Sus scrofa: one gene and its partner. The main gene of each other region encodes a partner of the protein of the gene in region 2 in a complex. Links are inferred from orthologs where the notes say so. Each region holds a gene or a part of one and is shown on either strand. Other genes may lie near its edges. The genes, in order: NGF and NTRK1.

Evidence for each region.
Region 1: the proteins of NTRK1 (region 2) and NGF are in contact, whole or in part, in a crystal structure (PDB 1WWW), measured with the Homo sapiens proteins. The link is inferred for Sus scrofa from reciprocal best matches to the Homo sapiens genes NTRK1 and NGF. Residues at the interface, in NP_002520.2 of Homo sapiens: His291, Val294, Glu295, Met296, His297, Cys300, Pro302, Phe303, Ser304, Leu333, Glu334, His343, Gly344, Cys345, Arg347, Thr352, His353, Met379, Asp380, Pro382; in NP_001424474.1 of Homo sapiens: His125, Pro126, Ile127, Phe128, Arg130, Gly131, Glu132, Phe133, Ser134, Ser138, Ser140, Trp142, Tyr173, Phe175, Arg180.

What each region holds. Positions count from the first base shown.
Region 1 is NC_010446.5:105,255,035-105,258,941, reverse strand, and holds the start of NGF (beta-nerve growth factor), read right to left. Parts: upstream 2,252-3,907; 5' UTR 2,153-2,251; intron 2,135-2,152; exon of another isoform or gene 1,981-2,134; intron 1-1,980. UniProt on the Homo sapiens protein: Nerve growth factor is important for the development and maintenance of the sympathetic and sensory nervous systems.
Region 2 is NC_010446.5:93,224,441-93,228,247, reverse strand, and holds part of NTRK1 (high affinity nerve growth factor receptor), read left to right. Parts: intron 1-520; coding exon 521-653; intron 654-2,516; coding exon 2,517-2,843; intron 2,844-3,261; coding exon 3,262-3,279; intron 3,280-3,438; coding exon 3,439-3,491; intron 3,492-3,779; coding exon 3,780-3,807. UniProt on the Homo sapiens protein: Receptor tyrosine kinase involved in the development and the maturation of the central and peripheral nervous systems through regulation of proliferation, differentiation and survival of sympathetic and nervous neurons.

The DNA of each region.
Region 1 (3,907 bases), about 12 Mb from region 2:
CGGCAGCTGGGGGCCCCTTCCTGGCCATCACACAAATTTCTCCATGGAGGAGGAGAGTGTGAAGCCTCATCCCCTGCTCCCTCCAGCCCCCTGGGTGGGGGAGACATGTGGTGGGCAACAGGAGAAGCTGAGAACCTCACTCCTTGACAAAGGTTAAGGATATCGAAAGAGTCACCAGTATGAGGATAGCTGCCTGAGTGGACCCAGCTTGCCATTTCTCTAGTGGGTCTGGGCCTGGGTTGCTTTGGGGTAGGATGGCTGCCGGGGCAGGCATGGCACAAGCAGCTGGCTATAAAATCCTCTGAGGTACTCCTATAGCTCTATCAAAACATGAGTCCCCATGCCTCAGAGATTTGTGGTGCCTCCTAACATTTTCCCCATCAAGACTGCCCTTTTTCCCACCTGCCTAAAAATGTTGGGAAAATCATGGTGGGGGGGGTTGGCAGCATGTGATGGTAATCCCAACCCCCTTCAATGACCCAAGTATGAGCCACATTCAAGGCCAGCAGGGCCAGTCCCAGCCCCCAGACCATTCACACTCCCCACCCCTAGTCCTCAGTTGCTGCTGAACCTCTGGGAACAGATCCCATAATGGACTGACATTTGGGCCGGCCAGGCTGACGTATGACTTCTGCAGAAGAGACCCATGCAGATCCAATGTAGCCTTTCTTCATTGGCTCTTCAGAAGGGGAAAGTTTCAGACGTTCAAACTGTAGACACTGCACAGGAAGGGCTGGCAGGGTCCAATGGCTGCTGCCCTCCTCTGCGCTGAGAGGAAGAAGTAGTCCCCTCCGGCCGCAGACTTAACTGACAACTTCAAGTTTGAAGACCCGGAATAGAAGATACTGGTGGGCCCGCCACTGCCATTCTGAATTTGAGAAAGCAGCTGACCATACATGTGAGTGGGGGAGGAGGTGTCTGGCGCTGGCAGTGGGTGTGCCCAGAGGATGGAGCCAGGACAATTAATCAAGTGCCTTTTCTCCAGGATTTCCATTGGCCTCAGATGACGGAGGGGGCAGAGATACCCAGGAGAGTCCTATTTTGGTTTCCCGCTGGGAACGTGCACTAAGTTTTTCTTAATACCCATAGCACCCAAAGGCTTTACTGTAATACCCTTTAATGCATGAAACACCCATAAATTATCCGACAAACTGTTACAACTTCCAACCTGGAACAACTTGGAAAAACCAGCCTAGCAAGCAAGCTCTTTTTTAATCTCTCAAATCACAAGAGAAGAGAAAAGTTCAAGCAGAAAACACCTTCCATGAGAATCTCAGTTGTTGTTGTTTGGAAAGAAAAAGGAGAGTTGTAATCAGAGTGAAGCCGCTTGTTTACGATGGCTCAAAGATGCCGCTCGCGACCCGGAGTCCTGTCTCTCCCTCCCCTAGGTCTTTGCCGTCTGGACCCAAGGCACTGCCGCCCCACCCCTCCATACTAGCTTCTCCCGCACCTGGCAGCAGACAGCTGGAGGTGAGGCGTGTAACCCACGTAGCAGGACCTTGCATGGAGTCCCTTGGCGAGCAGGCTTCCTCTAACAACCCCTGGGGCCCTCTCTGGGGATTCCCAGTTCTCCAGCGACCGGCGAAGGAACCCGGAGACCCTTGCTTCATGCCCTGCACCAGGTCCAGGGCCCCCTGCCCGCTCATCCCCTTCCCTGGGGGCAGCGTAGCACTCGAGGGACTAGGCACACACCCCAGCCCGCGCGCGCCCTGCACTCGCACTCCGCCGTGCAGATCACCACTCCTGCGGCCCCGGCGCGCTCGCAGCCCGCGCATCCCTCTCGCCACACTCGTTCGCTCTCTCTCACTTGAGTGCCGTCCCCCTTCTAGCCCTCGAGCTAGTCCTTGGCACCGCCGTACAGCGATTTCAAGCGCCAGAGTGGCCTCCCGCACTTCGGGCCATCGGGAGGTTGGGAACTCCACGACCTGAGAGAGCCCTGCTCCCCACGACTCGCCCACCCGCCGAGGCTCCCGCACCCACTTGGGACGCTCCTCTCACGGCCGCAGTTCAGCCCATGGGAGCCTCCGGGGCACCCAGAGATCTGGCCACACTGGGATCCACGCATACTCTCCCCGGGAGCCCAGCCACGCCGGACCGCGCCGGTGCCCGAGCTGCGCCCCTCTCGGGCTGGGCTCAGGGCAGCCTGACTCACCGCTGCGCTCCCCTCTGGCTCCCAGCGCTCTCTGCTGTGCCGGAGCGCCGAGCTGCTCTAACACAGGCTTCTTGAATTCTTAGCCCCTCCTCCCGGACTCCTGAGTCACCCACTCCAAATCCTTTCCCCCACTCCAACCCTCCGCAGCCCCAGCCCCGCACCTGCTCCAGCCAGGCGGAGGTGCCCGCCAGTAGGGGTCCTGGGGACCAGAGAGCGATCTTTCCCGGGAGGGCGGGCTTGACCCAGCCAGGGTTGGGGGTCAAACCTCCAGAGGTCAAAAGGAAATGCATCGGCATTGGAGGGGCCGCTTGCAAAGCCCTACTGGCTGGGGATTTTTCTGGGGCACCAGGCGGGGGTGCTGGCCTCGGACGCCAAAGGGCCAACTGGCTGGGGGTGGGCGGAGTCGCCGGGAGCTCCCCGCACCTCCCCTCCCTTCCCTCCTGCGAAGCCGGCAGCCCGCGCCTTGCTTCCAGCTCCTCTGGGGTCTGCCTGGTGCCATCCTTCGTGCCCTGGGCTTGGGCTGCTCCAGCTCCTGGGAGCCAAGAGAGAAAAGCCCAGAGACCTTTTTTCCCAGGACGCCTCCTGTCACCCTGGGAGAAAAGAGTACCCAGGGGAGCTCCAGGAGATGCAGGTTCCTGACTCCTCTGACACAGGGAGAGCTGTGGCTCCTACAGCAGAACCAGCTAGAAGGCCCTGGGGCAGGGCACTTAGGCATTAGGACCTAGAATCAGAGCCTTACCTTCAGGCCCTGATTATAGAAGCTTCCTTTCCGGGGTGCCTGATCCTTCTGAAATTGTAAGCAGATTTGTCTACTGTGTGATGTGTGGTTTTTCTGGGTGGAGGGTTCCCAACTTTCATCAGTTTTGCAAAAGTTCTGTGACTCTAAACTGACCCAGGCAGAGAGCCTTCTGCCCCACCCCAAGCCCTACCCAAATTCTTTTTCTCCGCCATCCGTACTTTCAGTTAGGCAGGATCTCGTAGCTGGCCCACCAAGATTTCTTGGGTTCCATGGATTCAGAGCTTGACCAGGGAGTTTGTCTGACCCATAGCCCAGAAATATCCCTAAAGTCAGATTTCCACCAAATGTGCATCATTAATTGTAATAATGTTCTGGGGGATTCATGGAGCTTTGAAAATTCACACCCCCGTCCCCTGGTATTGAGCTTGTATGTAGGTGTCTTCACTTCTTCCTTGAGCAAATTGCATACAGAACCCCTCCTCTGTGCCTGATGCCACACGGGAGGAAGGCTTGGAGAAGAGAGTTAGAGAGATAGGTGGTGGGGGGAGGCAGGCAGAGACTCCCTTTGTGGGTGAAGCTCTGACAGCACAATTAAGGTGAAGGTCACTCTCAGGCACTGGGATTTAGTGAGGCACAGGAGTTCCTGCTTTAAGTCCAAGGGTGGCCCTTGTCCCCCAGTGGAGGGCACTTGAGCCACGTGAGGCCCCGCTTAGGCACTTGACACAGACTAACCTGAGGTTTCCGCTTCTTTCTGGTTTTACCTTTGCTCCCATACTTTATTCACCCACATATGTATGCTCTGAGAGGGATGAGGTAGGAGAAAAACCCCAGACTCAGAAGAGCGTTTGAGCTTTGATACGACCTCGTTATTTCCCAGCAAAGCCTCTTTCCCTTGAGTTGTTCAGATGCAAACTGGTGGAGGAACACTTTGGAGGTGAGTGTAAGCAGCCGGAGCCACCATGAATGGGCCTTTCTGTAGAAGCAGCATCAGAGTCAGGGTGATCCATTAGGAAATT
Region 2 (3,807 bases):
CTGCCAAAAGGCAGTTGTCATGATGCTGCCGTTGCTTCTAACTGCTGCCTTGTTATCGGCACCATCTCTTTGTTTCTGATCTTTCTGGGGCTGAGCCTGAGTTTCTTAGAACTATGCGTAAAACAGATTGTGTAGGTGGTGAGGTCCTAGCTGGTTTTCTGATTCGCTGTGTCCATTTGGAACTTGGGATCTCTGATATCTACCGAGTTGTTCAGATGGGTGGTTTTACGGTTTGGGATGTGTTGTGCCGATTTTGAGATTATTGGTTGTGCTCTAGATTTTTCAGATCATTAAATAAATGATCCAGGAGAGCCTGCAAACCAGCTCTCGCGGAGGAAGTCCATTCTCTGCTCTATTCTCTCCCACACCTCTTTCCTCCCCCTCCCTTTCATCCCTCCTCTCTTTTCCATCTGCAACCAGAGGGGCTCCCCAAAGACGTCAGCCCCAGCCCCTGCACCCCGCCTCTAGCCCCAAGGCAGCTGATGTTCTTCTGGATTTTCTCCTTTCTTCTCTGACCCAGCAATCTGGGAGTCTGCCGTCCTTGGGACTGACCCTGGCCCATGTCACCAGTGACCTCAATAGGAAGAACGTGACGTGCTGGGCCGAGAATCATGTGGGCCGGGCTGAAATCTCCGTCCAGGTCAACGTCTCCTGTGAGTCCCCAAGGCTGCCCTGGCACGCACCCCCATCCCATCTTCCCCAAAGATGTCAGCCCCAGCCAGGGGGCTGGAGGAAAGGGGTGGGATGTGTGTGTGTCCACAGCTGCTCCCTCCCAGCTGTTTCCAGATTCCCATGAAAACCTGATCCTTTGAGGGAAGTCCTGTGGGCTCGTCAAGGCCAGAGGGATGGAGATGGATTTCTTTTTGGCCCACTGCCCAAGTCTTGCTACCTGAGGCCCTCGACACCAGCTGCTTGCCCGTTCTCACTGCTCCACTGTATTTCTTCATATCCATCCCTCTGTCGAACTTTTGCCCTATATCCTAGGTTTTTTTTTTTTTTTCCTTTTAGGGCCACACCCGCGGCATATGGAGGTTCCCAGGCTAGGGGTCGAATCAGAGCCACAGCTGCTGGCCTACGCTACAGCCACAGCAACACCAGATCCGAGCCACATTTGCAACCTACACCACAGCTCATAGCAACGCCAGATCCTTAACCCACTGAGCGAGGCCAGAGATCGAACCTGTGTCCTCATGGATACTAGTTGGGTTCTTAACCCACTGATCCAAGAGAGGAAATCCTAAACAATAGCTATTCTTACCAGCACTTCAGAAGACACTCCCTTTCTCTCCCCGCTCAGAAGCCCATTCTTCTCCTGCACCACATCCTGACTTTTTGATTTTTTTTTTTTTTGGTCTTTTTAGGGCTGCACCCATGGCATATGGAGGTTCCCAGGCTAGGGGTCTAATCAGAGCCAGAGCTGCTGGCCCACACCACAACCATGGCAATGCCAGATCAGTGTCACATCTGCCACCTACCCCGAAGCTCATAGCACCTTTAACCCACTGAGTGAAGCCAGGGATCAAACCCACATCCTCATGGATGCTAGTTGGGTTCTCAACCCTCTGAGCCACAACGGGAACTCCCATCCTGAATTTTGTGATAATCGTTTCCTTGCTCTTAAAAATAATTTTACACACATATGCTTCTCCATCAACATGGTTGAATTTTGCCTGTTCCTGTACATCATATAAATGGAATGACACCTCATGTATTACTTTGTGTCTAGTTTTTTCTGCTCAACGTTTGTAAGATTTATCCATATTAATGGGGGTAACAATTAGTTCCTTCCATTCACTGCTGAATAGTATTCCATTGCATGAATGCTGGCTAGAATTCCAGTACCAATTATATACGTTTATAGATGTATATATATATATATATATATACATATATCTTTTCTGTTATTGAAGAGCTTTTGCCTCTTTTGGGTCTATTTCAAACCCTTATCTTTTTTCAAGAAGTTCTTTAATTGTTTCTTGTTTTTCTTGTTTCATATTTAGGCCCCCTCCCAATCTTTTTTTTCAGCCACGCCTGCAGCATGTGGAAGTTCCTGGACCAAGGACTGAACCCTCACCACCGTTGCAGCCATAGCTGCTACAGTGACAACACCAGGTCCTCCACCCGCTGTGCCACAGGGGAACTCCCCAATCCTTTTAATGTTAATTACACTTTATTTTTCTCCATCCCTCATCCAAAAATCTCCAATTTCCAATAAGCTGGTACCCCACTGCTTTAGGACTCTTACTTACTTACATTCAACTGACCACCGAAGTTCTTTAAGCTTCTGAATTTTATGCACCTGCTGCCTGATTTATTTAAGATTTACTGTCACCTTTCTTCAAAATGTCTCTCCTTGTGAATTTCTTAGGGCCTGCAGACCAGTTTCTCTTAGGCCCACCCCCCTGATTTCAGGCTGTCCACCCCCCTCCCCCACCCCAACCTGAGACTTGTCAGGTCAGCACTGGGTTCCCTGCAGCTGCCTCCTGACTCTCACTGTCCCCCTCTCTGGCCCACAGTCCCTCCCATCGTGAGCCTGCACACAGCAGTGGAGCAGCACCACTGGTGCATTCCCTTCTCGGTGGACGGGCAGCCCGCACCCTCCCTGCGCTGGTTCTTCAATGGCTCCGTGCTCAATGAGACCAGCTTCATCTTCACTGAGTTCATGGAGCCGGCAGCCAATGAGACTATGCGGCACGGCTGCCTGCGCCTCAACCAGCCCACCCACGTCAACAACGGCAACTACACGCTGCTGGCTACCAACCCCTTGGGCCAGAATGCCTCCTCCATCATGGCCGCCTTCATGGACAACCCTTTTGAGTTCAACCCTGAGGACCCCATCCCTGGTGCGACCCTGAACCCTGTCCTCACCCTCAGGCTCTACTTGGGTACAGATCCAGGTGACCAGGGATGCCCGACCCACTTCCTGCTGTGATCCTGCCCTCAGAAGTTGGAGTGCCTGGTCCTGGACAGAAAGGAGCCTGGAGATCTGGTGTCCAGCTCTGCGCTGGCCTCCTTGCTCCTACCCCAGGAGTCCTGAACCCCTGAGCAATTCTATTCTCTCGGGCTGGCTGAAGAGAAAGCCAGACACCAGGGCATCCCCCGCCCGGCTGGAAAAGGGCCACATGCATCTTCTCCTTTGAGGTCGGCAGCTCTGCCTCCTGGCCCCGCCCCTACCCCAAGAAGGGATGAGTCCCAGAGGGGGAAGGGTCTCACTGCTCTCTAACCTCATCTGATTGCTTTCTTTCCTCCCTCCTGCTGCAGTCTCCTTCTCGCCAGTCGGTGAGTAGCCCAGGCTGGAGGGCAGGTTCTCTCTGGTCCCTGGGGCAGAGGGTCCACTTATCCTGATCCCTGAGGGGTCAGCCGGGGCCAGGGTGGGGAGCTGGTGGAGGAGACAGAGAGTGTGCCAAAGCCCACACTTCCTGCCCTGTGTCCCCACAGACACCAACAGCACATCTGGAAACCCAGTGGAGAAGGATGAAACACCTTTTGGGGTGAGCTTGGAAAGCGGAAGCTAGTCTGGGACTCGGGATCAGGAGGCTGGGCTAGAGGCGCACCTGCATATAATTTCTGGTCAGAGCATGGAGATCACAAGAGTCTGATCTGAGCTTCGGTGGCCTCCTTCACATCGTGGCCTGGGGCCTCCGGGGGGAGAGGAGGAGGAGGAAGAGGCAGGCCTGGGGGCTCGGTTCTGGGCGTCTATGCAGGATGGAGAAATGTTTTGCCGGGGGAGCGCTGAAAGCCCAGGAGAACCCCCAGATCTAACCACACCACATCCCCAGGTCTCGATGGCCGTGGGCCTGGCCGTTT